7 linked regions of the Canis lupus familiaris genome follow. The protein of the gene in region 6 interacts with the protein of the main gene of each other region in a pairwise test. Links are inferred from orthologs where the notes say so. Each region holds a gene or a part of one and is shown on either strand. Other genes may lie near its edges.

The links.
Region 1: the proteins of TNIK (region 6) and GSE1 interact in a two-hybrid assay, tested with the Homo sapiens proteins (2 studies listed by BioGRID and IntAct). The link is inferred for Canis lupus familiaris from reciprocal best matches to the Homo sapiens genes TNIK and GSE1.
Region 2: the proteins of TNIK (region 6) and PPM1E interact in a two-hybrid assay, tested with the Homo sapiens proteins (2 studies listed by BioGRID and IntAct). The link is inferred for Canis lupus familiaris from reciprocal best matches to the Homo sapiens genes TNIK and PPM1E.
Region 3: the proteins of TNIK (region 6) and DPYSL3 interact in a two-hybrid assay, tested with the Homo sapiens proteins (2 studies listed by BioGRID and IntAct). The link is inferred for Canis lupus familiaris from reciprocal best matches to the Homo sapiens genes TNIK and DPYSL3.
Region 4: the proteins of TNIK (region 6) and WWC1 interact in a two-hybrid assay, tested with the Homo sapiens proteins (2 studies listed by BioGRID and IntAct). The link is inferred for Canis lupus familiaris from reciprocal best matches to the Homo sapiens genes TNIK and WWC1.
Region 5: the proteins of TNIK (region 6) and HARS1 interact in a two-hybrid assay, tested with the Homo sapiens proteins (2 studies listed by BioGRID and IntAct). The link is inferred for Canis lupus familiaris from reciprocal best matches to the Homo sapiens genes TNIK and HARS1.
Region 7: the proteins of TNIK (region 6) and MYT1L interact in a two-hybrid assay, tested with the Homo sapiens proteins (2 studies listed by IntAct). The link is inferred for Canis lupus familiaris from reciprocal best matches to the Homo sapiens genes TNIK and MYT1L.

What each region holds. Positions count from the first base shown.
Region 1 is NC_049226.1:67,907,138-67,912,013, forward strand, and holds the start of GSE1 (genetic suppressor element 1), read right to left. Parts: upstream 2,933-4,876; 5' UTR 2,835-2,932; coding exon 1,509-2,834; intron 1-1,508.
Region 2 is NC_049230.1:33,523,722-33,527,811, reverse strand, and holds part of PPM1E (protein phosphatase 1E), read right to left. Parts: intron 1,730-4,090; coding exon 669-1,729; 3' UTR 1-668. UniProt on the Homo sapiens protein: Protein phosphatase that inactivates multifunctional CaM kinases such as CAMK4 and CAMK2. Dephosphorylates and inactivates PAK. May play a role in the inhibition of actin fiber stress breakdown and in morphological changes driven by TNK2/CDC42.
Region 3 is NC_049223.1:40,852,685-40,855,832, forward strand, and holds part of DPYSL3 (dihydropyrimidinase-related protein 3), read right to left. Parts: intron 2,731-3,148; coding exon 2,568-2,730; intron 1,645-2,567; coding exon 1,556-1,644; 3' UTR 1-1,555.
Region 4 is NC_049225.1:44,173,209-44,177,298, reverse strand, and holds part of WWC1 (protein KIBRA), read left to right. Parts: intron 1-624; coding exon 625-894; intron 895-3,528; coding exon 3,529-3,650; intron 3,651-4,090. UniProt on the Homo sapiens protein: Regulator of the Hippo signaling pathway, also known as the Salvador-Warts-Hippo (SWH) pathway.
Region 5 is NC_049223.1:34,969,155-34,973,825, forward strand, and holds the start of HARS1 (histidine--tRNA ligase, cytoplasmic), read right to left. Parts: upstream 2,905-4,671; 5' UTR 2,823-2,904; coding exon 2,733-2,822; intron 2,460-2,732; coding exon 2,370-2,459; intron 1-2,369. Other genes in the region: HARS2 (histidine--tRNA ligase, mitochondrial), read left to right, coding at 3,151-3,261, 4,455-4,529. UniProt on the Homo sapiens protein: Catalyzes the ATP-dependent ligation of histidine to the 3'-end of its cognate tRNA, via the formation of an aminoacyl-adenylate intermediate (His-AMP). Plays a role in axon guidance.
Region 6 is NC_049255.1:36,054,304-36,059,193, forward strand, and holds the start of TNIK (TRAF2 and NCK-interacting protein kinase), read right to left. Parts: upstream 2,981-4,890; 5' UTR 2,854-2,980; coding exon 2,797-2,853; intron 1-2,796. UniProt on the Homo sapiens protein: Serine/threonine kinase that acts as an essential activator of the Wnt signaling pathway. Recruited to promoters of Wnt target genes and required to activate their expression. May act by phosphorylating TCF4/TCF7L2.
Region 7 is NC_049238.1:1,323,157-1,327,756, forward strand, and holds the start of MYT1L (myelin transcription factor 1-like protein), read right to left. Parts: upstream 2,945-4,600; 5' UTR 2,610-2,944; exon of another isoform or gene 2,514-2,609; intron 1-2,513. UniProt on the Homo sapiens protein: Transcription factor that plays a key role in neuronal differentiation by specifically repressing expression of non-neuronal genes during neuron differentiation.

The sequences.
Region 1 (4,876 bases), on a different chromosome or scaffold from region 6:
CCCAGCCAAGAAAACGGGCACAGGGAGGGTAAGACACTTGCCGTTGGCTGCTCAGGTTAGCAAGAGACAGGGCAAGATTGGAAGCCAGGTCTGTCCTGCTCCAAAGCCAGGCTCACCACCTGGTTTCTGGCCCTTCTGGAAACAGCACTTCTTCAGACTCCCAGCAGCAGACCCCACAGACTGGACTACCACAGGCTGCAAATGAGAAGTCCAGTACCCACAGGGGGGGAATGAGACATGCATCCATTTAGAAGAAGAGGACCACTACCAAAGCCCCCAGTTACATCTCTATGGTCCAAAAGGGACACTGGCAGATTAAGAAAGCCTGGGCAGAGCATGAAGAAAGCCTGGGCAGAGCAGAGCATAGGGCAAGCACTGGAGGGAAGCGGGACAGTGCGCCCACTTTACAGATGCAACCTCCCCTGAGAGTGAACGCATAAGCCAGGAATTCCACACACGGGGATTCCATCCTTCCAAATAGATGCAACAATCATTCCTGAACAAGCCCGAGCCGCTCTTCCCCATCCACGGGGCCCTCTGCGGGGCCCCTCGCTGGTGGCTCCCACTACAGGCATCTGATTATAATAAACCAGGCCTCCAGGCGATGAGGATTCACGACACCGCCCCCTCCCCGACACCCCCCCCCCCCCTCCCCCCCCGCCGTAGCCATCACCGTACATGGTGATCCCGACTCACAAACACCTATTTCCCCAGACCCACTGCAGGCAGGTCCTGTCCTGGCCCTTGCAAAGCCTAATCCAAAATTAACTGAGGCCCGTCTGGCTCCTCCCGGGCAGGCAGCGTGAAGGCAGGCGCCTTATAAACAGGGCACACGCCAGCCACCACACACACCCCCCCGCCTCTCTGCCGCCCCCCCTCCTGCACAGCTGAGTTGCAGAGAAGAAAGCCTCTCTTCCCATCAGGGGGAAAGTCTGTTTAGGCCACTGTCCCCCGGGTCCCAAACCCCCACGTCTGAAAATCTGTTTCCATCTGCTGTGAAGCAACCGGAGAGCCTCAGAGGAAAAGTGTGAACTTGGGGGAAAACTGCAGGAGCGAAGCGGTGCCAGCGCCAGCACGGAGAGGAACTGCCACCTCCGCTGCATTTCCAACCGGGTAAGTGCACAGACCTCCCAGTGACCTGCATGGCCGGACTAATTACCAATGTTATCAGGCGGATGACAGACGTGCCCCGAACTTCCTCTGTTTGACGGACTCCGCTGCACACACACTCAAGTTCAGGCCCAGGCCTGATGCGTTCAGCAGTGCCCTGCTCTTCCACAAGCCCGCTCCAGGTGCCCCCAGCTCCACATGACTCCCAGCTCAGTCAGCACCCCCACCTCGAGCGCCCTCCCCAGGCGCCGCCGGCCCGGTGACCCCAGGAGGGAAGCTCCTTCTGGAACAGATCACACGGAATCAGTACAAACACTTCCCCAGCAGAGGAACAGAAAGTAACATGTCTTCCTCTCCTACTCAAATCACCGGAGGCTGAAGAGAAAACCAGGACTTACCTTCATCGCCGCTGCCACTGGGGAGCTCCAACCCACGGACCCCTGGCGGGCGAGCCCCGGGCCAGCACACACCAGGGTCCCACACTCCACACAGGCGCCGATGATCAGCTGCCGCCCATCGTCCACCAGCAGGCTGTGGCTTGCTCGCAGGGTATAGAGAAACAAGGGCAGCCGCGCCAGCCGCAGGGCCTTGAGTCCGAGACAGCGCTTCTTCTCCTGCTGGCAAAAGAAGCACACGAACGTCTCCACTTGGTACTGGCGAGACCAGGCGCTGACGGTGTGGTGGGCGCTGCGGGCCTCGTGCTGCAGCCACTGGCCCAGCAGGTCGTGGTAGCAGAGCACACAGGTGGCCACGAGGCCGGTGGAGTCGGCGGGCCTGGCACGGGGGGCGGGCGGGTAAACGGTGAGGAACGGGAAGAAGGGCTCCTTCTCGCCCAGGCGGCTGGAGGGGTTCACGTTGAGCTGGAACTCCTTCCCAGGGCCCAGCTCGGCCCCACAGATGTAGCAGACAGATGCCGGGCTGCCCCGGGCCGGTGCAGGCGGCTCGCAGAGAGCGGGCTCCGAGGCGGAGAAGGCCTGGTGGTACCTGCCCAGGAAGCCTTGCACGGAGGTGATAAGCTCCTCGTTCTGGCAGGCCCGGTACAGGGCCCAGACGTCCTCCAGGACGCTGAAGCACTTGGGGCAGCTTCGGACCTCGCAACGCTTGTTGGGGCCCCGGGCGTTGGGGGGACAGGGCAGGAGGCTGAGGAAGGGGAAATGCATGGAGCCCCGGGCGCTGCCGTTGAGAATCCTGAAGGCCACGGCCCGGGCGTCCTGGGTACAGTCCTCCCCGCAGAGGTAGCAGGCCTCGGGCAGGGCCCCCGCAGGCGGGCCGTCTTCCCTTGGGAGCCTCCGGCCCTTGGAGGCCATGCCGGGGGCGTGGCTGTTCAGAGGCACGACGTACAGTCGCTGCAGGACGGGCACGTTGGCCAGCTCGAAGCTCTGCCACTGCTGCATGAGGGAGGAGAAGCAGCACGGGCACACCAGGGTGCTGCCTCCGTCGCTGATGGGCTGGGCCCCCGGAGGGGGGCTGTGCAGCCACAGGAAGGGGAAGAAGGGGGCCTGGGCCAGCTTCTCCTGCTTCTGCACGTGGATCTGGTGCTGCGAGGCCGGGGCCAGGGCCGACCCGCAGATGTAGCAGCAAAGGCCCTCCGGTGGCGCCGCCCGGCTCGCCAGCGAGCCCCAGGGGACGCAGCCGCCGCTCTCCTTGTCTCTGGGGCCCGAGAGAGGCTGCTCCTTGCGGTCCTCCTCCTCGCTGGTGATGTTGATGTCGCTGTCCTCCGACATGCAGTAGCTCCCGCGGGCGTCCGCAGCCGGCCTGCTCTCGGGGCCCTTGGGGGCCCTGCCGGGAGGGCCTCCCTTGGCGCCGTCGGCGGGGGCCCCCTGGCCGGGGGCGCCTCGCCACGGGTCCGTGATGCCCCTGAGGACGCTGGCGCGGGCCTCGGGGCCCCAGTGCCGCCCGGCCGCCTTCCGCCGCCGCCGGGGCCCGCTCCGCGGCTCCGCGTCCCCGCGCTGCTTCGAGGGGGGCGCCCCGTCCTCCCGCGCGCCGCCCGGCCCCGCGGGGGGTCCCGGGGGCGGCCCCGGCGCCGGCCTCCACTCCTGGCCGCGGCCCCCGCGAGCGCCGGGCCCCGGGGGACCCCCGGCCGCCGGCGCCCCGTCCCGGCGGGGGCTGGCGGCGTCGCGCGCGGCGGGCTCGCCCTCGGAGAGGGGGTCGGCGTCCGACAGCTCCGACAGCTCCGAGTCCCGCGCCTCGTCGGCCGCGCCGCCCAGCGCGTAGGCGACGTTCCACTCGCGGGGGCCCCCGGCCGCCCCGCGCCGCCCGCCCGCGCCCGCGCCCGCGCCCGCGCCCGCCTCGCACTGGTGCGGCCGCTTGAGCCAGTACATGCGCTTGTCCACCGGCGTGCGGGCGCGCTCGAACGCGGCCCACTGCTCGCCCAGGAAGCAGCGGCACACGGCGCACACCAGCACGCAGCCGTCGGCCGGGCACAGCTCGCGCGCGCCGGGCGCCGGCTCCTGCTGCTGCAGGAACGGGAAGAAGGGCTGCGCCGCGGCCCCCGCGCCCGCCGCCGGCTGCTTCACCTGCAGCTTCAGCTCCTTGCCGCGCCCGATGCCGCCGCCGCAGATGAAGCAGGAGAGCGGCGCGCCCCCGCCGGCCCCGCCGGCCCCGCCGCCCCCGCCCCCGCCCCCGCCCCCGCCGGCCCCGCCGCCCGCCGCCGCCCGCTCGCCCACGGCTGCCATGAGCCGCTGCTTGCGGGAGAGCGGCGCCGGCCGCCCGCTCATGGCCGCGCCGCGTCCGCCCCCCGCGCCCCGCGCCCCGCGCCCCGCGCCCCGCGCCGCCCTCAGCGCCCGCCGCCGCCGCCGCGCCCAACTTGGGGCATGAGCGCGCCGCGAAGTTTGGCGGCGGGCAGCGGGCGCGGGCGGGGGCGCACGGCCGCTCGCAGGGGCGCCCCCCCGGCCTGCCGAGCCCCCGGCGGCGCCGCGCCGAGCGCGCCCGGAACGCAGCGGCGGCGGCGGCGGCGGCGGCGGCGGCGGCGGCGGGCCCCGGGCGGCTGGAGCGGCGGCCGCATGTGCGAGCTCCGGCGCCTGCCAAAGCGTGGGGTCATTTAATTGGGGAGGAGGGGGCGGGGCGGCGGGCGGCGCGCGGAGGGGCGGGGGCGGGGGCGGGGGCGGGGGCGGGGGCGGGGAATCCCTCCCCCGCGCGCCCGCCCGCCCGCCCGCCCGCCGCGGCGCCCCGCCCCGCCCCGCCCCCGCGGCCCTCCCTCCCTCCCTCCCTCCCCTCCTCCCCTCCTCCCCCTCCCCCCCCTCCCCGCCGCCCGGGCTGCGCACAATGGCTCGCCGGCTCCTCTATCTATTCCGTGTCCCGCCCGGAGTCGCGCGCCCTGATTCACGGCCCCGATTAGGGGCTCCCTGCAGCGCGCCCGGCTCGGGCCGTCTCGAGGGTCCCCGAGGGAACCCGCGGAGCCCCATCGGCGGCCCCAGCTGCGCTTCAAGTAAAGGGCAAGCAGGACGCGGGGGCAGCTGCGGAGGACGGGGCGCCAGCCCGAGAGACAGAGAAAACCCAGGAACCCCGCCGATCCTGCCCCGGGCGCCCGGCCCCCTCCTCCTTGGGAAGGAGGGACCGACGGAGGGCCCTTTACGGCCCTGCCCTGCGCAGCCCTGGGCTGGGGCACCTTTTAGGGCCCAGTGTGCTAATTTTGGAGACAGAGGGAAGAGGAGCTGTCTCCTGGATCAAGTCGGTGAAGGCACCATCAGGGGGACGCGAGTCCTCGACCTGCCATGCCTTTTCCTACCTCTGGCCCGGGTGGCCCACGCGGTGTCTGTCCCCCACC
Region 2 (4,090 bases), on a different chromosome or scaffold from region 6:
AAACTCCCAAATAGCTACACAGCCCTAGGAAGTACTTTTTAATTCAGAAAATTTTCATAATCGTTTTTGTTACAGGAAAAAAAATCCGTAAATCTTTTTGACTATGTACCACCTCACAAGTCAGAAAATAATGACACGCTTATTATACTAGTTTTCCACTTTCATCATAACTAATTAAAACCCATATGGCTTTTAGTCTTATCAACCAAAAAAAGAGGGGAGGGTTTCCCACATATTCCCCCAGGCTTTTGGGGAACATCCCCCAACTAAATCTGATTCTGTATTAAGTTTTCCATAGATACAGTAGGCACATCGAACCAGATTTCACCTGCATTGAGATTTCAACACTAGATATCCTGACTAAAACAACTAATTCACAAACTTCCACTAGTGATGTGAAGGGATAATAAACTGGGGGTCATATGTAGGTGTGGAGACACATCACAGGGACCAGTTGTATAATTTCGCTAGTGAAACCGCCAATACTTTTTTTTTTTTGATTGAAAACACTACTTTGAGTTTTCTAGAGATCTATTTACATTTAAGAATTGAGCCACCCATGGTTTCATAATGAAGCACGTATGTTTCAGAAACATCTACCTTGTTCCTACTCTGATAGTGGTATCTTTATTGGGGAGAGCTAGCTAGCCTACTTTAAAGAGGAAGTATTATATTTTATAGCTCCAGGGGAGACCTGGGTCTGGAATGTCATTACTCTTTCTGAGCTTCCTCATCATGTTTGTACTGTATCCTTTCCAAATATTTTGCCTCCATGGCAGAAAACTTCTGAACATTCTGTTTCTCTTCCCACTCCGAATAAGTGAGGACAGACTAGTGCCTATTTTGTGGGAAGGCTCTTGACCAGACATAAATGAATACAGCTTTGGATTAAACCTGAATCCATGCCATCTCTTTGAATAATGATAGCGTAAATGAGACAATCTGGAAACTCTCTTTCCCAGGAATTTGAACTGTTCATCTTCCAACCTAGGACAGACAGGAGACAAGCTCTCCATTCTGTACATCTGCTGCCCTGTTGAACCCAAATTAAAAGAGGGAAACTCTCCAGCACCACCACTCTGTTCAGGCAATGATGATTGAACTGATTTTTTCTCCATTATTAGCTCATTAATAGGATTTGCTTTCTTTGGTGCACCAGGACCAAACATCTCAATTGGTGACAAAAACTGGGCACTGTGAGGTTTGCTTGCTTCTATTTGTGTGAGATCTAGGTAGCCCGGGTCTTCCAGCACGTTGATTTGGGACCCTGGGCTCAGGCTAGTTCTATCAGTGAATGAATCCACGCGCCCATCATAGCCTAGATCGGCTGGTGCTGAGCACTGGTGCTGAGGCCAAGGGCGTTTGCACTCTCCATGATTCTCCTTATCATCCCCACCATCTTCTTGCCCTCCTTGAAAAGAGTTCTCTGTCCAATCTGATTCCTCACTAACATTTACAGCTTTGTTCATGTCCCTCAGGAATACCACAATAACAGTGATGTTATCACTTGACCCAGCATCACGAGCTGATGCAACTAATTTGTGGGCAACCATGCTACTGTCTCCATTATTCTCCTTCAGATGGTCAGACACAACTTTCACTGCCTCATCAGGGTTCACGGTGTCATAGAAGCCATCACAGGCCAGAATGAGGTAGTCTTCAGTTCCATCCAAAACAGTAGAGGCAGAATCTGCATCCCCACAGATATATGGCTTATGTTCAGCGTCTCCTGTGGGAATTAGAAAGTAGGTCAGATTTTGGTTTACCTTGCACGAAAGAATGTTTATGGCCAGTGCTTTGATCACAATTTACTGGGTTGTGATCTGAATTTATCGAAAGAATTTATAAACTAGTGTCAGGTAAAATACTTGAATTCTTTGTTATTCACCTGCTGCTCACGCCTTACTCTCAACTAAGTAATTGCTTACACTCTGAATCTTGTGCCTCTAGCTATGATTTAGGTTTAGCTAAGCATGGCAGCAAATGTCGAATCTAAATTTTTTGCTGCATTGAAAAATTCAGTGTTATATGGGAAATGTCTGATTAACAGGTATACTTTTTTATTAGTAGTTAAGTTTGATTTAATTGAGATTTGAGAACAAGTCCACATTGAAAAAAAAAACCCAAGTTGTGGTCATTCTTTTCATTAAATACTTACTTTTCTGTCCTTGTTTTCAAATTAGTAGCTTTATGCTGCTAGCACAGAGAAAGGTTTGAGTTACAAGGGATTTTAAAAAATCAAGTCCAACAAAAGTCATCCCAAGATTCAAACGAGAACTAGAATGTAAGTCTCTTGGTTCCCAGTCCAGTTTGCTTTCTACTTTTTAATGCTGCTTTACTTGTAACTTCTAGAGAACAACTGGAAAATGTATGACCACATTTCTCTCACCTTCAGGGACTACCATATTCTTGCCTTCTTCATTTGTCTCTGATCCAACCTCTGCTTCCCCCGCCGTCTTTATTGCTGTTGTTCATTCTTCACTTACGAACAATGGTGAGAACCCCCAAAGCCCTACTGGGGCATTGTTTCTCTTCTGTTTATTTTTATTTTTTATTTTTTTAATGATAGTCACAGAGAGAGAGAGAGGCAGAGACACAGGCAGAGGGAGAAGCAGGCTCCATGCACCGGGAGCCCGATGTGGGATTCGATCCCGGGTCTCCAGGATCGCGCCCTGGGCCAAAGGCAGGCGCCAAACCGCTGCGCCACCCAGGGATCCCTCTTCTGTTTATTTCATCCACTTACAGAATGACATTTGAGCTGGGCCTTGAAGGTTAAGTTAGTTATCACCAGGTAGAGAAGGGCTCTCAGTTGAAGGAATAGCATAAGCAAAGACACAGAGGCAACTGTTTACATATGGGGTGCTTGGGAGTGGAGACAGAAACCTAGCCTAATGTAGGCCCAAGGTCTCCAGGGTATCTATCACCAGACTACCGAGGAAATCATATGCAGTCCATTCTGGATCTTTCAGATCTAGAACACTTCCAGATCCATTCATTCTACATTCATTGTTTTCCTCTGTGTATTTGTAGAGAGCCTTGCCAGAGGGTACTTAACCTATTAAGTCACCATAGTTTATTAGTACAACTCGTTTATTACTTCTTTACATAGAAAATAGTGTATTTAGCAATAATTCCTAGATTAGGATCTCATACTTGGGAAACAGTAGTTATTATTATTATTATTTTTTTTTTTTTTGGAAACAGTAGTTAAAATGTATAAAATGTTTTGTCATTTGTAAAGTAACAGCATGTAGCTTAGTGGTTAAGGATGCCAGCCCTGGAGTCAGATACCTGAATCCAGATCCTAGCATTTGTTACTTGCACACCCACATCAGTTACTGTCCTTTCTATGGAACTAAAAAATGAAGATAATTACATATAAGTTATCTGGCCATATAATCACTGTTTCTGGTATCTGTTCTAGGTTCTCTCCTATCCAAATAAGATTCTCTCCAACATTTCACATCCCTGTTTAATCCTCAAATAGGCCCAGAAAGCTCAATAGGAACCCTAGAGATAACTGCTAGAACCAGTATGGGCCACGTTCCCTATCCAGCAGGTTTAATGATTGGGGCACCCTGAACAACAGATACTACTAGATAAGAAACTAGTCTTTTTCATACAGTTGCCAGAACTATCTTCCCTCAAACATGGTTTTGACTCCATCAATTTCACTTTTATACTATATGATGTCTCCCTGTAGCCTGTGAGAGCTAATCAAAACTTCCAATCATGGGATTTAGTGTTCTTCACCAATCAATCCACTTTACTAAATTTCCCTGTCCCCTACTCCACCTGATTATTATTATCATCATTATTATTTTCTGAATTCCAGCTCTAAAAATAAATGTGATCTGAGTCATACTGTTCCCAAAAATCTTGTTTTAGTGCTTCAATTAAAAGGCTACTGCAACTGTTAGTTTGGAACAGAACATACAAAGATTTGCACAGGGAAGATGCTGCCAAAATTCTGGCTTTTCACCTGCTCTACTGTTGGATGTCAAATTCATGACATTTTGCCCCCAAATTTGGTAGGAGGGCATGATTATTATCCATTTCATGGTAGAAATGGCAACATCCTTTTATCTTC
Region 3 (3,148 bases), on a different chromosome or scaffold from region 6:
CTTCAACCTGAGCACCTGAAAGGTGTCCGAGGCCCGCTCTTTTTCTTTCAAGTCCCTAGTACGCAGGCTTAGGGGGTCCTGCCAGCTGCATCCCACAAGCACAGGTATCTGATCCCAGGGCGACTATGTTCTCTCTGCCCCCGGCCCCCCTAGCTCTACAGATCCTCATCTGGCTCACATTGAACTTTCAGAAGCGGCAGGATGGGGAGATGGACACTGAGCTCCACTTTGTTATGTGCCACACCCCACAAGGCTGCACGTCACTTCCACCACCCTGGGGGCTGCAGGAAGACACCAAAAGCTCCCCCAGAGGATGTGCTGAAGGAAGGGCAGACAGTTGAGGGCTGAAAAGCAGACCCATGGTCCCAGAATGTGCCCCCCGCCCCAGCCTCACAGACTGGCTTTCCCAAATCCTTGCTTGGCTCCCACCTCAACCGAGACCACCTGTTCACAGCGAAACTCCTAGAACACCTAAGCACATACATTTTCAAACCCCAAATCCTATCCAATCACAGATGTGCCTGGAACTCGAGATGGAAAGACTCGGCCACTCACCGCCAGCAAGAGCAGCCCTTCCTGGGGGTCCCCCTCGGCTTGTCCTAACTCAGGATGCCGGATGCACGCTGCTCTCCCGGGTGGGCAAGGCCCCGAGCACGTGAGGTGATGATCTCCAACACGCGTTTAGAGGAAGGCATGTGAGCGCGGCTGCCCCGCCCCGAGGGCCTGCGTGTGCTCCCAGCTGCTGCCTTTTAAAGAGCACCAGAGAGGCAGGCAGGACAGAGAGGGAGGAGGGTTTCCTCCTCTCTTCCTTCCCGGCCCAGGAAAGAGGAGAATTTGAAAGCAACACTGAGAAAGAGGCCCTACGAAACACTGGCATGATCGAGCAGGTGAAGGTGATGGTTTGGGTTTTGGTGTTTTAATAAAATGTTCAAAGGAATAAAATCTAGGAGGGGATGTGACAAAGTCTGGAACCTGAAGACTGCCTGCCTTCTCCGCAGACCCCTGGAGACCGTGAGGAAGGGGCGGCGGCCCCAAGTAGCCATCATCCATGGAAATAAACGTGCTTCAACACAACACACAAGCCCCCTTATGCTCACCCACCCGCCCGCCTCCCCGTACACACCCTACCCCAGCCCCTCGGAGCCTTCCGCCTTACTCTGGGCTCCCACCACCCCCTCACCACCAATACCCACGTCCCTTTTGTTGATTTTCCTGACATCCCAGCTTTGTCTGTCCCCTTGTCATAAAATGCAGCACTACACACGCGCTCAACACTATATAGCAGACGCTTTTACCTTAGTAGCCTGTCTGATTGCATGCATGGAAATGGGGGGAGGGGGTCAAACAAATCAAGGCTATGCATAAACAGAAAACAAAGCAATATTCGTAAAGCTAGGCAAGCGAGTGTAGCATTGGAGAAACATAAGGCTTGAGGCTTATTGATTCTTTAGATCGCAACTGTTTGGATTCGCTTTCCTTCTTAAATATTGGTGTACCATTTTGGCTTCAAGAAAATCTCTTCTTGCTTCCGCCCCTCTCTTTGGGGAGGGGTCGCTTAACTCAGGGACGTGATGTTAGAGCGGCCTCCAGGGGGTGCCACGATACGCTTGCTGGCCGAGCGGACCCCCTCATCCACTTGGGTGCCTACGGTTGGCAACACATCCCCAGGAAGGAAAAAAGGGAGAGGGGGGTGTGGAAAAGAGAGAAATTGGATTAGTTTTCAGAGTGTCAGACGGCAGGCACCCTCCTGGCCTCATCTCCCGAGAAATTTCCATTCCAGTCTATCAAACATTCTAGGTGTTTCATATCCATCCTCCCGAACGCCTATCTCCAGCAGAGAAAAAAAAAAAAACACAAAAAAACAAGGACCACAGAAATGCAAACCTACAGTTACTTTTCCCCATCGTAAGACTACAGGCTACGGGGCAACTAGACAATTATTTTCTATGAATATTAGTTCTTAAAGCATCAACCAGGCTAGCCCAGCAGAGCATTTACTCAACAGCGGCTCCAACAGAGGTGCACAACACCACGCACAGCTCCCACGGCCGCCCGCAGAGAATCACCACCAATTCATCATGGGAGTCATCGCACCCCACCCCTCCAGGTGTGACCTCTAAGCAAATGGTCATCATTTAAGCCTGATCTTTGGGGCACCTGTGGCTCTGCCGGTTGAGCATCTGCCTTTGGCTGGGGTCTTGGGATCCAGCCCCGCACTGGGCTCCCTGCTCAGCGGGGCCCCTGCTTCTCCTTCTCCCTTTGCTTGTGCGCGCTCTCTCTCTCTCCTCTCTCTCTTTCTCAAATAAATAAAATCTTAAAGAAAAAAAAAAAACCAAAAACCTGATCTTTAACCTCTTCGAAACTTATCTTGCTTTCTCAACGGGATTCCTTTTTGAGTTGGCAAAGTTTCCTGCTGACCCCAGTCACCACCTTCCAGAAGGTGTTGGGGGGGGCTGGTTCCCAGGTGGCCGGCCAGCTCCCTACCTACCCCCTCCCTCCCCCGCACCCCCCTCACCAGTCCACCAGGCCCTTCTCACAGAAGGGCACCTGGCGCTTCGCCCACTCACCAGACAGGCTGAATCCCGACTGATGGAGGTTCCTCACGGGCGGGTTGGGCCGCGTGGGGGAGCCCCGGGTGGAGCCCGCGGGGGTGCCCCCTTTGGGTGTGGTGGTCAGGTCAAACACCGGCCCGTCGTACAGGCCCCTGGGGACCGCATGCAGGTCTGCCATCTGCAACAGAGAAAGGGGTCACCCCAGAGTCTGTCAACACGTAAGGTCCCTTCTAGCTAAGTCGGGGAATCCAGGGTGCAGTGGGAGCCAGGAAATAAGACAAATAGTAGGGTGCCCTAAGGGAAGGAGAAGGAGAAAATAGAGGGTGTGGAGACAGAGCGACGGTACAGAGGTCGGCGAGGACCTCTCTAAATAGGTGAGCTTCGCTCTTCAGGAGCAAAGGGACCTGTTGTGGGGGGACATTGAGGAAGGAGAAGGAGAGGCTACGAAGTCAAGGACATGGGGCAGGGGTGGTGGCGGAAGCAGCGTCCCCAGCAGAGGAAGCAGGTGGGGGAAACAGGACAGATAGAAGGACCGCCGGCTGGCCCGGAGCAGAGGACGCAGGAAGGGCAGCGGTTTGGGACAAGGTCGCAGTGCT
Region 4 (4,090 bases), on a different chromosome or scaffold from region 6:
AGGTGCTCAGCAAAAGTGCCAAAGTTGAAGGTTATTGGCTGGGCTTAGACAACATACTCACCCCTGAAGTGGTCACTGAGGTTCTGACTGTCCAGGTTCAGGTCACATCCCTGTCCCTGAAATCCCATGTGAACCACCTTGTGGGTTGAGCATGCAGGAGGAGTGGATCCCCAAGGGAAGCTACGGGCTCTGTTTACCGTCAGACCAGGGAAGCGGACGCTGGACATGCAGAAACAACAGATGTCCATGACGTCTCCTTTCCGGGGGGCACAGACCTGCACTGAGGAAACAACTTCAGGATAATGACAAGAACCCGTTAACCGAGTGTAAATGTTGAGGTCACTGAGAGCAGGGAAACGGGGCAGTGTGGGGAGTGAGTGAGGGGGTTCTGGAGCCAACTGCCAGGGTGGAATCTCAGACTTACCACCCAGCACCCTGCCTGGGGCATAAAAATGCTCAATGAACAGAAGCTGAAGACATGGGAGAAATCGGGATAGGCCCTGGGGGTGGGCGAGCCCCGTTTTTGAAGTAGAAGCCTGCCGATGAACAAAGGAGGGTATCTGAGGTTCAGGGGGGCGGGTTGTTGGGGCTCACGGAACCCAGCCCTCTAATAATCAGCCAAAGCTGTCCCTCCCCCCGCAGCCTTCGTCGGTCAAATCCCTGCGCGCCGAGCGCCTGATCCGCACGTCGCTGGACCTCGAGCTGGACCTGCAGGCGACCAGGACCTGGCACAGCCAGCTGACTCAGGAGATCTCGGTGCTGAAGGAGCTCAAGGAGCAGCTTGAACAAGCCAAGAGCCACGGCGAGAAGGAGTTGCCGCAGTGGTTGCGTGAGGATGAGCGCTTCCGCCTGCTGCTGAGGATGCTGGAGAAGCGGGTGAGAGCCACGCAAGAGGCAAGGGAGGCGGCTTGCTCTGCCCTGAGGGACTGCCCAGTGCTGCAGGGGAGGGAGGCCAGAGCTTTGAAGAGGTGCTACAGTCCTGTGACCCACTAACAGTGTTCCCAGGGCCCCTCACTCCCATCATCAAAACGATCCAGGAATCCCTTTGCCCGGTAAACTTTATTAACTCTCGACCTGGCTGCCGGGCCCTTCTGCATTTCCATATTTATGTGTGCAAGACCTTATCATTCACACTTTTATTCATCAAACATTGGGTACCAAATCTGCACTTGGGCACACACTTGAATAGATACAGAACACTGACCTGCCCCAGTGTCGGCCCATGTGATCCCACAGAGTAGCTCTCTCTAAAGATACAAGTTCGTACATGGAGGAAGTCCCTCATGTTGGAGATCTCCCAAAGGCGACTGCTCTGGGCCACCACCTAGAAGGGAGGAGGGCAGTCCTCCTCAGCAGCACAGGAGGACTCTCTGGGTCAGGGTGCTCCAAAGCAGGAGCAGCTTCAGATCTTTCATGGCTCTGGGCTTTATCTCATCTGTGGCTAGCAGATAGTGGGCACAACTTCATGGGGTATGCAAAGCTGGCAGTTTCTAAATGGATAAAAAAAAAGTCTGCTTGTTTGAAGCACATTTAAAGCAATTGGATGCCTTAAAAATTTGCCTTTGGCACCAGTGAGCTGACAGGTCCCAGCCTGTCATGAAGACGTAACAACACAGGGTCAATACACAGAAGCCATCATCAACTCATTTATACAGTATCTGCCACTCCTGGACTGTCACCCATGCAGGAATGACCTTTGCTGGTTTCCTCTGCGTACAGCCAGACAATGCACCTTGCAGAGGGTACCGGCCTCGGTTATTTTTTTGGGAGAGCCGTTAGCCGAAGCCCCAGCTCTCAGTGCCAGTGATAATGCCTGAGAGTAGGAAAGTGGTGGTGGGCTTCTAGGGTCTGGACTAGCTGAGGGGCTTCAAATTGACTCTGGTAATTCAAGAGTTCCTGCAATGTTTATTTCTTTCTAATTCAATATTTATACTCTGTATACTTATAATAGGTAATGCCTTTAAAGAAAAAAAAAGGGGGGGTGCCTTGGTAACTCAGTTGGTTAAGCATCTGCCTTCATCTCAGGTCATAATCCCAGGATCCTGGGATCGAGTCCCACATCGGGCTCCTTGCTCATCAAGGAGCCTGCTTCTCCTTCTATCTGCTGCTCCCCTTGCTTGTGTGCTCACTCGCTCTCACTCTCTGACAAAATCTTTTAAAAAGGAAGGGAAGGGAAGGGAAGGGAAGGGAAGGGAAGGGAAGGGAAGGGAAGGGAAGGAAGAGTAATGGCCTTTGGAAGGAAGGTAAGTGACTAAGTGCCTGTTCATTTCCTTTACTTTCCCTTTGTGCCTTTCACTTTGCCTTTCCTTTCTTTCTTTCTTTCGTCTCCTTCCTCTCCTCCTCCCTCCCTCCCTCCCTCCCTCCCTCCCTCCCTCCCTCCCTCCCTCCCTCCCTCCCCTCTCCCTCGCCTCCTTCCTTCCTTCCTTCCTTCCTCTCCTTCCTCCCTACCCTCCCTCCCCCCTCCCTCCCTCCCTCCTCCTCCCTCCCTCCCTCCCTCCCGCCCCCTCCCCCTCCTTTCCTTTCCCTCTCCCTCCCCCCCCCTCCCTCCCTCCCCTCCTCCTCCCTCCCTCCTCCCTCCCTCCCTCCCTCCTCCCCTACCGAAATAAAAGAAAAGAAAAGAAAAAAAAGAAAAAACCTGACCTCTCAAATAGCAAAAGAATAGTACATCGTGACTGTCTGATAATGGCCTACTAAATAACCACTTAAATGATGGCTTCATTGGGGCACCTGGGTGGCTCAGTCGGTTAAGCGGCTGATTCTTGATTTCAGCTTGGGTTGTGATCTCAGGGGCCTGGAATTGAGCCCCACATCAGGCTCCATGCTCAATGGGGATTCAGCTTGGGGATTCTCTCCTCTCCCCACCTCTCTCTCTCTCTCTCTCTCTCTCTCTCAAATAAATAGGTAAATCTTAAAAAAAAAAAAAAAAAAAAAAGATGGCTTCACCGACCAAAATTCCATCTTCATGCAATTAAGTTTCAAGTTATGTGATACATGGATATTTTAGGGCTTTTTGTGGTTTGTTCTCAAAAGCGCTTACATAGGTTTGCATTAAGAGGAAGGGATACAGCATATCTAAAGCCCTTGAACACAATTGCATGATTGGAATTGTGTTTCCAACACTTCTTAGTTGTTTGACATCATCAAAGAAATGTCTTAACATGCCTGAGCCTCAGTTTCCTCCTCTATAGTACAGAAGTAATTATAAAATGTACCTTTCTAGGTGGCCCTGGGGCTTAGAAAGGTAGCACACATTTCACTAGGCAGCCCTCATCTCCTTACACATAGGTATTCAGTTCCCTGGCCCCAAAAGCCTGTCCACCCTGACACATGATGGGGTCACATCTTCTCACCATTCTAAACAGAGGACCCAGCAGTGGAACGGGAGTGAGCATGCCTGTTCTGTGACCCTCAGACCTTTTGACTACACTAGACTCCTCATGTGTGCTAGAAAGTTGTCCTTAGCTGCCCCTTTCTAGAGGCCCTGAGGACTCCGTAGCACCTCACAGCCCTGCTTGCTTTGCCCTGCAGATGGACCGAGCAGAGCACAAGGGTGAGCTTCAGACAGACAAGATGATGCGGGCAGCCGCCAAGGATGTGCACAGGCTTCGAGGCCAGAGCTGTAAGGAGCCCCCAGAAGTGCAGTCTTTCAGGTAAGCAGTGGGCACCTGGCCAGCCCGCCTTCCCCTTTCACATGCAGCCGACCCAGCCTCAGTCTCACCAGCCCTGGCCCGTGCTCCCTCCGCTAGCAGAGCACCAGCCCTCCTCGGAACAGATGCGTGCCCTCTGCCCAGCCGCCCCGGGCGGTCTGTGAGCGCCGCAGTGCTTTCCCTCAGCTGTCCTTATCAATCCCCGCACAACTCGAGCTAATTTGTTAGATCCTCTTGTTTAACGAATGAGCCACCTGCTCCGGCCTTCCCTCTGAGTGTTTCCATCACCCGTAATTATGGAGGACTGGCTGAATGATAAATAAGCCTGGGGTGCTTGCCGGGCCTCCCTGACTCTGCCTGCTGCCTGCCAGGACCTCAGGGAGGTGCTTTCTTGCCTGGATCCAGGCATGTCATAGGAGGGCCCCAAATGCCCTTTGGCTAGG
Region 5 (4,671 bases), on a different chromosome or scaffold from region 6:
GATCTGGGATTGAGTCCCACATTGGACCCCCCTGCAAGGAGCCTGTTTCTCCCTCTGCCTATGTCTCTGCCTCTCTCTCTCAGCAGTCTTTGCTGCTCATGAATAAATAAATCTTTAAAAAATAAATAAAATAGTATAGAGATTTTCAAACACACAATATAGGGAATAGTATCACAGACCACCATGCATCTATTACCCAGCTTCAATAACCATCAGCATCTGTTATTTTTATTTTATCTAAGCCCAACATCTTTTTTTCTGGAGTATTTTAAAGTAAATCCAGACACCATATCAGTTTGTCCATAAATATTTCAGTATGATTTTCTAATGCACAAGGTTTAAAAAAAGCCAAAACACTATAATACCTTTATTACAACAAAACAAACAGCCACCCATTCATATTACCTAATACCCAAGCCATGTTTAAATTTCCCCAATTGCCTCAAGAATAAAGGGAAAAAAATGAGTGGGAAATATCAGAAAGGGAGACAGAACATGAGAGATTCCTAACTCTGGGAAACGAACTAGGGCGGGTGGAAGGGGAGGTGGGCGGGGGGTGGGAGTGACTGGGTGACGGGCACTGAAGGGGGCACTTGATGGGATGAGCATTGGGTGTTATTCTATATGTTGGCAAATTGAACACCAATAAAAAATAAATTTATATATATATAAAATTTTTTTTTTTATGGTTGGCTCACTTGAATTAGATTCTAAATGAAGCCCAGTCACTGTATTTGTCTCTTTATCTATTTAATCCACGACAGGTTCCTTTCCTTTTTTTTTTTTTTTTTAAGTGCCATTTATTTGTTGAGGAAATTGAATTATTTGTCTTAAAGAACTTTTCATATTCTAGATTTCATTAACAATATATCCAATGTGTCACTTAATACATTCCGCCATCTCCCATATTTTTGGTAAACTGATGGTTAGGTCAAAAGGCCTGATTAGATTCAGGTTCAATTTTTCTTGGCAGGAAAAGTTCATAGGTGGTGCTGTGTACTTCTTATTGCATCACATAAGGTGAAACATAATGTCTGGTTGCCCTACTTTTAATGATGTTAAGATTGATTGTTGGGTTTACGTGAGGCCAGCCTGATCTATCATAAATTCCCCATTAATCTTATCACTAGATAGTTTGAAAAAACTATGGATACCACTGTTTTGTGATTTTATTGTCTCTTTAACCTCCAATATTAGTTGTGTGTAGAAGGGAATAGCCCAATGAATTTAGGAGCCCAAAGAATGAACCTAAAAAGGCGACACCTCAATGCATGGAAGACTCCTCTTCTTTGGAATCCAATTTCACAATACATTTATTGACTATTTATTCAGTTCCAGATACCTACTCTCAGCCTCTCAGGGTAAATAAACCATGTGAATAACTAAAAGTCACCAAGAAATGCAATAATAGAGATATATATGAGGTGCCTAGGGAACCCAGATGAAACAGTAAATAGTTCTGTTTATAGAGCTTACAAAGAATGATATCTAAACTAAAATCCTGGAGGCTGGACTAGTAATCTACAACCTCATTCCACTCCACTCCACTCTACTCTCCCTCTATATTTGGTTCTACTCATACAGGTCTTTTTCTAGTTCCTGGAAACTATAAGCATTCTTCTCTCCTTCAGGATTTCCATACTCTACCTGAACCTATCTTCCTTACACTCCTCCCCTGGCTACTTCCCATTCATCCTAAGTCAGTTGGGTCAGTTAGTACATTACTTCTTCATCGAGGCTTTTTCAGACTCTCTAGTTCTTTCCTGTTTATCTCAGAATTCTTGTTATTTCTTTATTTTTTTATTTTTAAAGATTTTTATTTATTTATTCATGAGAGATACACAGAGATAGGCAGAGACACAGGCAAAGGGGGAAGCAGGTTCCTCTCAGGGAGCTGGATGGGGGACTCCATCCTGGTACCCTGGGATCACACCCTGAGCCTAAGGCAGATGTTCAATTACCGAGCCACTCAGGCATCTCTTGTTATTTCTTTATATAATTTATCACAATTTATAATCACATATTCAAGAGTGGGATTATTTGTCCTGAGTCCATTTCGTTCAGTAGAATGTAAGCTCCATGAGGGCAGGCTGTATTGTTCACCATGGTATACTCACTGATTCCTACAGTGCTAGGCATATAGTAAGCACTCAAAAAATATTTACTGAATGAAAGAAAGAATAGGTGTAGCTGGCATACTACTAAGCACCCAGTTTGTCTAGTTTCTGCCATCACTTTGCTATCCCAGAACGACTCGGACTCCAATTCAGCCCAGCACCCAGAACAACTGTTCAGGGAAGCAGGGGCATCCACGTTTGGGAGTGGAATTAGGGGCCTTCGCAGAAGCTCCTTAATGGATTTGTATTTACCTTGGGGGTTTTGAGCACAAACTTCTGTTTCCCTTCATCAGGGCCCAGCTGCGCCTTCAATTTCAGTAGTTTTGCTACCTCCTCCTCGATCTGTGGAAGTAAAATAAGTGCTGGGCGATCACGTCTGCCACTCCCTTCCCTCCTCCGCCATTCATTCAGTATCCCTCCCTCATCAGAATCTGGGCAGATCTCTCCCCTCAGTTGTGCTTCTGTCGGGTTCTACCCGGGACACCTCCCCATCCTGGCCCTGCTCCTTCCTATCCGCCGGGTCCCTTTTCCTACATCTCTTTCCTCTATGCAGACCACCTAGTTCCATGTCCCCCCCGGTCCTATTTTGGTCTCTCCCAGCCACCTGGGTCGCACCTGCTCAGCGCTGGCCTTCTGCTGCTTGAGGCCCCGCACGCGCTCTCCCTGAAGTCGCACTAGCTCCTCCAGTGCTGCACGTTCTGCCATATTGCGGCCAACTGGCGCTGAGGGCTGTCTAGACCCGCTGTGGTTGCCGCAGCCTCAGCTCGGATAACTTCCGGCTATCGAGTCACTGGACCGCACGCCTAGAGGGCCCCCGTCGAAACACTTCCGGCTGCTCCCGGAAGTGCCGAAGCTGAGACGGTGCCTGAAAGGTTCGGAGCCAGCCTTCAGGCTTTGGAAGGTAAGGAAGTGATCTTTTCGCTGGTGCTACGGCTAACCTCTACAGCGCTCTGCACACTTACTGCGGTGGGGTCCGACCTGCTTCGTCCCCAGGTCTTTTGGCTCTTGTCTCGGAAAGGCGGCTTCCTGTTACATGATGCCCCCGTTCGGACTCCTGCACCGGAGGGCCTGGGCTTCACTGTTTGGCCAGCTCCTGCGGCCGTCCGGTCTTGTGTGCATCGGGGAGGTCCATTTTCATAGCCAGGTGAGCCAGACTGAGTGGTCTGTCGGGGCAGGATATTCAGGTCTGAAAGTATGGACTCTCGGCCTGCGTTCCAGTAGTACAGTTGTTTTTTGTTTTTGTTTTTGAGTGGTTTGCTGGTACTGAGCCAAGTATTTTAGATACTTAGCCATTTAATCCTCATAGCAATTTTGAGAGGTTGGGATTATTTCCATTTTACAGTTGAGGAAACAGTCTGCAAGGTTAAATGACTTATCTACAAATATATAGTAAAGGGAGCATTTTTAATACAGGCCCACAATCCCTTATGGGAACCTCTTGGGGGTCAAACACATTCTTAAGCAAAGTATATGAATATCCCCATTAAGTGAAATGACAGAAGACCATAAGTAGACTGAATTCACATTAGAATTTATCTTAAAGTGAACTCCGCGCCCCCCCCCCCCAAAAGAAACCCCAAAACAAACCACTTTCTGTTTTTTAAAGATTTTTGGATTTTGGAATTGCATATGGACTTAAACTGCCATCCTTTGGAAGAGAGAATTGCCAAAATATGGAACTACCACACTATGTTTGTGAAAGGGCGTACAGCCTGCTGCTAATAAATAAAATTATCGGTTCAGTTTTACTTTAGGAAAGACCCTAGCAGATGCTTTGTGCTATCATGAACAACAGGGCTCAGGTCTTTTGTTATTAATTTTCAGTCACAGCATCTTACCAGTCTGATTTTTTAGTTCGACTTATTTAGTTCGATCCATTCTTGTTCATTCCATAGGCGTATTGTATGTTTTGGGCTGGTTCTCCTGTCTTCGGGTTACTTTTTCCATGTCTCTAAGCCTAATGACCATTGATTGTTACCTTATTAAAAATTCATTTATTGCTCTTTGAGTAGGAACTAAGAATTGGAGATCATACTAATCCCTACTCCTTGATGGTTGGTGGCAGTAATGGTGGGTTGTCCTGTGCCTTCATTGTTCTCAGGTGCTTTTCCAGACATTAAAAACTCCGAATATGATAAAGACCTGACCTTATGTGTATTACATATATAGTGCAAATACAGTGTATATTTTGGAAGGAGGCTGAGATTGAAATAGATAAAACAGTAGTCAGGCTGTGTGTTGCTCAGGGCCAGATGTCTTTGCAGGTCACTTGCAAAGGTGTCTGTCCTAGGCCTGACCAGTCTTGTGGCTCACATCTCACATTCCTTTTCCTGCCAGGTTTCAGAGGCTGTGTTAATATCCCAACTGAAACCACATCAAGAAAAATCAAATTTTGTTATCAAGACCCCAAAGGTAATGCCTTTTGCCTCACCGTATCCTATTAGATGCCTTGAGGATTGCCTTCTGCTCCGCTTGTCTTTTCCTAACCCCTTTTAATGTCTTTTTAGAGTAATTTCATTATGCTTGAGGTACTGATTGGGCTCAGTCATCTGAA
Region 6 (4,890 bases):
CCGGTTTTATCTTACTTTTTAAAACCATCCAAATCTTGCATAATTTAAGTGATCAGTGCTGTCACTGGTTGCTCTGGTTTAAATTATGCATTGTTGCTATTTGGGGAAAATTTAGACTGGGTCCAGTCTGGGATCACTGGCTGAGAACAATAAGCCCCCAAAGTGAGAAGGATAAAGGCCTCTCCAGACAGGATCTGCTTTTAATGCATTGAGCTCAGGGTTTACAAAAGAGCATTGATTGTGTACATTAAAGAGCCACCGAGACAGCAAGGGACTGGTTAAGGCTGCAGCAAATTCTCCAAGATGCCACTGACCTTGGCTGCATTTCAGGGGTCAGGCATTCCCCACGAGGCTCTCAGCAGGCGGGCTTTCCTGAGGGGTTAGGAACTAATGAGACCTCTCATCTGGATAAACCCACCTCTCCTAATTTGGAAAGACAGAGAGACATTATCTGCTCTCGGATTTGTGGAGATCACCAACAGGGCCCTTGGACTCAATGGCCCGCCTGCACACCTCACCCCCTACAAGACTGGTCATACTCTCCGGCACCGGGGATGCAATCGTCTCCACATCTGCATTTAGGTCTTCCAGCCAGCCAGCAGTTCCTATCTCTAGAGCTGGCCTTCGCCCTCCCTCTTCACACACCTCCTGCAGGCAGAAATACAGAGGCAAAGCACTAAGCCCAGGCGACAAAGAGCAATTTCAGTGAATCCTGCAAGATCTCTTTTCAAAATACAGATCTCTGGAGCACAGGCCTCCCGTGTGTGATTCACACTCAGGCAGGCCCGGTGAGCCCTCGTGGTTGCTCACCAGCCTGCAGGCTCTGGGCTCCGGATCTCAGGAAACCTTCCCCGTGAAAAAGCCAACGGGGGACACCTCTGACCGAGGCCAACTTAAAAATCGCCTCGGATTGCTTTCTATTAGAGGAGGATGAGGACATTCTGCTCAGGAGAAAACCACAAGCCTTGCCCATTGTTCAGGCTCCTTCCCCTACCCCCCACCCCACCCCCTGCGGGGCTTCGCCACTTTCCCCTACCCTGTAGTCTGGGCCATCCATCCACCTGATTAACCCGCTGGCAGCAACTCCCAGCACAGAAAGTAGGGCAAATGAACACACACAGCCTGTAAGGCAGGAAACCACAGACTTAGCCAAAGCACCCACCCTGTTACCAGCCCCCACCCCCAGCTGCCCAGGGAGCTGCGGCTTCTGAATGTGGCATTTCTGCACCAGGCGAATAGACAGCTTACTGTAATATCACATGAATGAGCTTTTGCTGCCCAACTATCCAAAAAAAAAAAAAAAAAAAGAGGCCATTTCAAATGGCATCTATGTTCCTTCTCAACCCCTGGACTGCCTCGCAGAAACCTCACCTCTGGGAAGGATGAAGCAGAAGAGGAGGGGAAGTTCCACAAGAGGAGGCTGTGCAAGGGAGGGAGGCTTTAATGAGCCGCAAGAAAAAGTAGCACTTGGACGGTTCAAGGCAGCTCTTCAAGATACCCGTGAGGGAAGGGGCAGTGGCAGGAGGAGGGGTGAAGATTCAGGTCTGTAACCCCGAGATTTAGCATCAGTGTAACCATGTAAGCCTCAGGAGGGCGTGTGAACTTCGCGGCTGCACCCCTCCTGCGCGGCTGCGTGGACAGCACCGGCGAGGCGGGCCCCGACCCTCCGCGCTGCCAGGATACACATGCAGTCGCTTTCCCCCCTTTAATTCCTAGTCTTCGTTCAGGGGGAGGAAGAAGCCATCCTTAACTGGGGTGCGATCCATCTCAGACCCCCCCCCCCCACTGGCTGCAGCATCAGACCCTCCCTGTCCCCCTCTTCGGGAGGCAGCATCTCATTAAAATGGCAAGAAGTCTCGGCCCCCTTCCCCCGAAAGAGCGTGTTGGGATCCGGGGGTGGGGGTGGGGCGTCGTCGAGGCTACACTGGGGTTCCCGGGATCCGGAGCTCAGAACAACAGCAAAATGGATCCTATGGCAAGTGATGTCTCAGTCCATACAATGAAAAAAAAAAAAAAAAAAAAAAAAGGGCGTCTGGGGCGATTCACGTGAAGGGAAACGCAAAGCCAGCCGCGGGGCCGGAGGAGCTGGATGCTCCCCCTACTCTCCCTACAAAGGGCTGGCCGCGGGCACACGCGCACACGCGCACACTCACGGGAGTTCCGGTCTGAGCGGGGGAGCGCGGAGAGCACATCCCTTCACCTGCCTTAAGTTGGCCCATAAAACTGAAATGTCAGGGCCACAAAGTCAAAAAAAAAAGAAAAAAAAAAGCAAGCAGGGCTAAGTTACACCGTAAACAGGGGTGCGCGAGGCGGGCGCGGGAGGGCGCGGGGGGAGCCTGGGGGCGGCGGCCACCGACGGGCACCGGCGTCGCGGGGTCGGGGCCGTCGGGCTGCCCCGGTCACCCCGCAGCGAGCTGCGCAAAGTGAGCGGCCGGTGCGTTTCTCCACGTTTTGCAAAAAAAGAAAAAAAAAGGGGGGGGGGGGAGGGGGGACGGTGGGGCGTCGCGCCTTGCACGAGCTGGCCGTCCGGGGCGCGTGTGCACAGCGCACACACGCGCGCGCGCACACGAGCATTCCACGTTCAAGGCTCGGGCGCCGGGGTAAGGTGAATGCCCCGCATCCCGGGGAGCCCGGCCGCCGCCGCGGGGGTCACGGAGCCGAGGCTCGCCCGGGGCGGGGACGGGAAGCCGGGGTCCCCCCCGCCGCCGCCGCGCATCCGCCTTGCCCCCGCCCGCGCGCCGCCCCTAGCCCCCGGCGAGACCCCCCGAGACCCCCCGAGAAGCCGGTTCTGCTCACCCTCAGCGCCGAGAGATCGATCTCATCCAGGCTGCGAGCCGGGGAGTCGCTCGCCATGTCGACTTCTTCGCGGGAGCAGCGGCCCTGCGCCCCCCCGAGGCTCCCCCCTTGCAGACTCCACCTGGTCTACCGGCCTCGCGTCCTCATGCGGCTGCCGCGCCAGAGGCCCCGGCCCAGCCCCCGCGCCCGCCCCGGCCCGGCCCGGCCCGGCCCGGCCCCGCGACGCCCGATCCCGCTGCTGCGCCCGCGGGCGGCCGCGGACCCGGAGCCCGAGCTGCGCGGCTCTCCCAGCCCCGAGCCGCGGTGCGTGTGGGCTGCGCGCCCCGCTCGGCTAAGGGCGCAGGGGCTGCGTGGGTGTATTTAAATGGGACATGCTTCCCTGCCTGTGCGTGGATGGCGGCTGCATCGGCGGTTATAATGAGACACATCAACTCCTCCACTCCGCCGGGGGGTGGGGGCGGACGAGCGCCCCGAGCTGTCCATCAGCGCTTCCTGGGAGGAGTGAGGCGGGGGGCGGGGGCGGGGCGGGGCGGGGCGGGGCGGGGCGGGGCCTCCGCCCGGGAGAGGCCGCGCTTCCTGACCCGGGCCCTCTGCACCAGCGCGCGGGGCGGGGCGCGCCCTCTCGGCCCGGGCGCCCCCCGCGGGGTCTGGAGAGCGGTCCCCGACCCCGCCGGGCCTGTCGCGGGGGCCAAGGGCCTTTATTCGTGCGCGTCCGAGTCGTGCGCTGCAGCACAATGGCCCTCCTCGCACCGGGGGCGGGGGCGGGGGGCTCTCGGCAGGGTGCGATGCTCCGCGCTTTGCACATCCCGGGGAGGGCGGTGGGGTGCGGGGGGGGGGAAGAGCGACGGCCGCCCTCCCCCCATTAGTTATTTGTGAGGCTGGAGTAGCACGGGCTGGTGCAACCGGTGCATATAAGGACTTGTGTGCAGGGAAGGGGATCCGCCTCCAGGCGCGGAACGAATGGGGGCGAAGCGCACGGGCACCCTGCGCTCCAGCGCTGCGCCGCGGCGGGGGGGGGCGCCCAGCGACCCCCGGGAGCCCGGCAGGGGGCATCCGGGACCGGCCACCCGCGGGTCGGGGGCTGGGAAGGTTACCCCGGAGCGGGAGAAACGCAGATCGGAGTTCCCTGTTGGCACCGCCACACCCAGGACCTGCCCGTACCGCAGTTCCCCACGGAAACGACCGAAGCGAAACGAGCAGCTTCTTTTTTTTTTTTTTTTTTTTTTGCTTTTTTTTTTTTTCTCTCCCTTCCCCCGGGTGCCGCAGCGTCAGGTACCCCTCCAAGGGCGACAGCGGGTGGGGCGGCGCACGTCGGCCCTGGGGGCAGCATTTCCGCCGCTGAGCTCCTGGGGCGGGCGGAGAAAGTTTGGCGGGTGCTGGGAGGTGTGTGTGCAAAATGCACGGCAGGAGGGCGAGCTCACCCCCACCCCCCGCCCCGCCCCGCCCCCCGCTGGCTCCTGGAAAGGCTGAGCGTGGACAGTGGTAAGCATGACCTTCCCCAACCAAAAGTATGAGGTCACTTCCCCCGGGCCCCCCGCGCAGGAAGGAAGGGACGCGGGAGCCCAGCTGTGCCCCCCAATGCAGCCGTCGCCCTGCAAGCGCTCCCTGCACCCCTGCTGCAGCCGAGGGGGGCCTCCGGGCCACGCGCAGGCCGGGCCTCGGGGTCCCGTGTGCGCAGTCAGCCCCCGAAGGAGGCTCTTGAATGAATGGACCGAAGGCAGCGCCGCGGGGTCAGCGGGACTGCAGACCCTGAAGCCTGCGCAGCAGCGTCGGCCCGGCGCCCCGGTCCCGCTGTTGTCCAATGATGGGGCTGCTTAGGTGCCCCGGCCCGGGACACTGGCCACCTGTTCCCACGGCCACCGTTCCAACGCGCTGAATTCAGAACGCTCCACGTGACCTCTCATTTTCTACCAAGATCATCCAGCTTTGAGGCTGGATGCAAGCAAGTGAGGTGCAGTAAGCCACCAAAGGGATGTAGAAATGATGTTAGGAAAAAGCCCTATCATTTCCCATCATGTGCTTCCCATCATGGTCCTTATTTTTCCCTCCTCTGTCTCCTTTGTACCCTTAAGCTAGATAACCAAGGCATGCACT
Region 7 (4,600 bases), on a different chromosome or scaffold from region 6:
GATGCAAGTTTAACTCATGAGAAGTTGACATTTATGCTTCATGTATACTTCCTGTCTTGCTGGTTCATCTTGATGGTCCTGGCTTATCGTTTCCAAAATAAATGTCTATCAGTAATTACATACCTTTCCATTACAAAAAGCTTTTCCATCTGAAAAACATGTCTACCTAGTGTTTACAGTTTTCCAATGCACCATTGTATACTTAGGCAAGTGATTTTAATGAAATCCTAATGTTTGGCAATTTGGAAAGTGGGGTGAAATTCTTATGTGCAGAGTAAAACACAGAGATTGCATATCTTTTCTGCCACCATCTTCAAAACACCCAATTGTGACCATAAAGGCTGCTCTTGCTCCTACCTCAAGGAGCACAATCATCAAGGTGATGAAAGTGAGCCATTTTTACGTTGCCAGTAAACTAGTGGAAAGTCAGTCAGGGCTGAACGTAATTGCTATCAGCAGCGGACAGCTCCCGGTGCTGAAAGGGAAGGGGAGAGAAGCCCTGCTCACAATGGCTCACTCAACCAGCCTTTGAAAAATCACAGCAAAACTGAATGAGGTGGCAAGTGCTCGGGCTGAATGGCACTGTCTACAGAACAATGGCAGCCAGCTCCAAATCCCACTATAATCACATTAATGAGATTAATCAGTGAATTAGCAGCAGTCAAATGTCAGGGAGACAAGGAAGAACCCAACCAAGATTGGTAATTAACTTTTTTTGAGGGGGTGGGGGAGAAGGAAAAACCAACTCTGCTACCTCCTAGTTTGCTCAGAAGTTGACAATTCTGCTTTCCAAATCTGAAGACGACATGTACTGATCAAAAAGCACCAGCATAATCCTTCCTATTATAATATAGATCCAGGTATCACGTTACCGTGATTCAACTACAGTCCTCTGAGAAAAGTGATGTCACTTTAAATAATCTTCACAAACTATCGGGCTTTTATTGTTTTGAACTTACTAAGTGTGAAATTACTAGAGTGAAATCATTTCTGTAATACTCGAGCTAAAATATAAAAAAAAATGGCTGATTTTAAAAGGAAGGATTACATAACAGCTGCTTTGCTTATAAGTCATCCGTGATACTGTGGCAAGAGTTTTTTAAAAGTGCCATCAAGTAAAAAATTATTATACAAGCATATCAGCAACCGTCTATTGTCTTTAATAAAGAAAATATGTCACTACAGTTCAACCTTGTGGAGAATTTCAACCAATTAACCTATTGTACTTGAGAGCATAGAATCATACACTTTCCTTCAGGTCAATTAGAAAAAAAAATAAACTTCCTTTTTCCTAGAACGTGTCACTTAGTCGTGTATATGATATACAATCAACACTTTGCATTCAAAGTTCTGAAGAGGTGAAAACTTACGGGAATGCAATGGAGCTGTTTTTCAAAAGGGAATATTGTGCAAAACACTTTTTTAAAAAAAGTAATCACATTTTTATCTGCATGGCAGACATGCTCTATTTATCGTTTAGAAAGCTGCATAACTTTTATGAAGTTGAACAATTAGAAAGACTCCCTTATGCCTATAAGGGTGGTGGTAGGGTGCTTTTGTCTGTGAAGTTAATTTTGTTCAGTAAAATACACTCAAACACAAAAGCTCTTAGGAAAAATATTTTTACTCAAAGTAAATAAATAACTTAAAATTCTACAGTATTATATAGTAGAGTTTTAGTGGTACAAGAAATTGTCATGGCTAATTTAATACTAAAGTCAAATTCAATGCTCTATAGTTCGAATAACTATCATATGAATATTTGCATATCTATTTATTTCCTTATTATGACCTATCTTGAAACTAAAGTTTGCAGTCTGGACTTCTAGTTTATTAATGTAAGTTGCATGAGAAGACATATTTCTGTTACAATTGAAATAATGTTTCATCACTATGAACTTCAGACATTTAGGTAATAGTTAAAAATCTTTGAGTTTCTCAGTTTAGACCATATAAGTCAACTTTCTCACCATTAGGCAAAATGTAACATCACAGCAAGAATATCGAATGTTTTAACAGCCTTTGTAACAATGCTCTGCTTCATTTGTAATGGAAAGTAACCCAGTAAAGTCTCTGGGAAGTTTTTGTTTCAGTGCCCGCAAATCATCCAAGTATTGTCCATGCAGCAAGTTTTTTTTTTTTTTTAAATAAACAACATCACAGTTAAGGCATGCATCTTAATACCCATTTTGCTGTAAAGACAGACTTCTGTGGCTCACAAACTCTCTAGCCCAGGAACATTTCAGCTCCCAGCCATGCTGTAAAAATAACTTTAAAAAGGAGCAAACAATAGGCACTGCAGCACCAGCCCCTGGACTACGGTAAAACATACGCTGTCCACCAGGTCCACAGAATTAACCTAACGAAGATCACATACCTCACAACATGACCACAACCGCTCACAAGTTAACGACCAACTCAATGCTGTCAACTGTGCTGGCTCAATAGACACCAGAAGAAAAGAAAACCCTTTTCCACCACAAGTTTGAAAGGAGGATGAGGAATATGCCTACCACCGAGATGCAGAAAAGGTTGCTTTTTGTCTTCAGTGAATATTGACACCATAACCCATAGTCCAGGGAATAAAACGTAAAATAAAATACACCCACCAACAATGAATAAAAAAATCAGGGGGCTTCAAGAAGGCTGCGAGGAAAGCTCTCTCTCTGCTTTAGTGTGCAGTAGCTTAGGGAAAAAATGTCGCCCGGGCAGGACTGACAAACGCAGCGCGATCGGCTCGCGGGCCTGAGGGATCTGTTTCACTTCCACATGCGTCCCCTGATGCACACACTCCCACTCATGCTCTCGATATGCTTTTTTTTTCTCCACATTTTTTTTCACGAGCTCCAAATCCCCGGCATATGACCTTCTGTTAAATAGATAAAAAAAAAATTGCTTATCAGTCATGCAAATGAGGCTGAATTCATTTTCCACAACAGATGGCCTCATAGATAATGATGATGGAAGAGAGAAAATTGAATGTCTCTCACAAGGTGGCCATGGCAACCGAGAGCAGAATAATATCAATAATAAGCTCAGTGCATAATAAGGTTGTCAATCCCACAAATCAAAGTCTCCAGCTAAATCAGGTACACCACCCCAGCTAGTTACCAGGTAAATATGAATATATATATATATATATATATATATATATATATATATATAGCAGTTTACAGTGACCATGAAGAAAACTAGAATTTCAAGGCATTCTGTGGAAATGCGCATGTGTGTGTGTGTGTGTGTGTGTGTTTCATCGGAGGGGGTTGGTTTGATAATGAAATGACATTGTGACATATTTTTTCTTTATTTTTGTTTCATTATATTTTCTGTAGTGCACTTGGTCTCGGGAAGGATTTTTAAATAGCCATCTTGAAATCTGGAATGTGGAGTGTGGGATCTCCTGTCTCCTCCTCGCCCCCACTCTCCCTGTCTGATGTTCTGTGCTGCCCTGATGCAGTAGCAGCTCGCCTCAGGCTTCCACCTTGACTCCCAGGGGGACATCCTGCAAAATGAATCAGCAGCCATCCTGAGCAGGCTGATTAAAATGAAAATGGCAAGGCACATGTCTGGGCGGAACTGGAGCTCGGCTTTGCTGCCTGTCTGGCAAGCATGCTCAATATAGCTCTTGCTAATAATGGCTTACTGCCTTTCGTTTTTTAAAAAGGTATCGCCCTTTTTCCCCTTAACCGACTGGTGTTGGAGTATGTGTGTGCATGTGGGTGGGTGTGCATGTGTGTGCGTGTGTGCGCGCGTGTGTGCGAGTGTGTGTGCGCGTGGCCGGGGTGGGGGGATGGGAAGGGATTGTTCGATTCTTCTCATTTTCTGCTGCTCACATGCAGACTGCCTGCCTGACAGCACCGTTATTGTGAAACCGAACTTACCTCTGTCATTCTTTTGGAGAAGGAGGTAGCTGATAAGTCTCAGGGTAAAAGGGCCAGTTATAAACTCAAGCCGCCTGAAAGACCAAGTCACCATTTTACACCTAAATACAATAATTTCTAACCGATTCCGAGGCAACAGACCTTGAGAGAACGCTAGCTGCTTCACAGGCTCACAGTTGGACTCTGAAATGCAACCTATTTCTGTTTCAAACATTTGCAACCAACCTGCTACTGTATCCCAGATATTATGCAACACAAAGCATCCAAAATAGGAAAATGAGAGCTAACTGATGCAATAATTTAACAAATCTAATAAAAATAAATCTCTGAATTTTTCTCAAAATTCTCAGGCATGGCTTTTAAGATTACCCTCAAATAAGTATCTTTGACAAATTTTTCAGGTTTTTTTTTTAAAAGCATTCTGGAAATAAGAACATTATCATTTTTCATAAAAAATGGCTTAAAGATTAGAACCAAGGGTTTTCCTGAATTCATCATACTTTATTTTTCCTATGTTTTTTTTCTAAGATGCTAACAATCTTGCAATTTTGCTGTCTTAATTTCCCTTCTTGATTCTTTTTGGTAACAGATGCATGTGTGTGTGTGTGTGTGTGTGTGCTTATTTTTGCCATTAGTAATTCTTATCTCTGAGATGTGATCTTTTTTCCTCCTGCACTCCAGCCCTGTTGCTGCAGTGTGAATCAGAAATCAATAGAGCT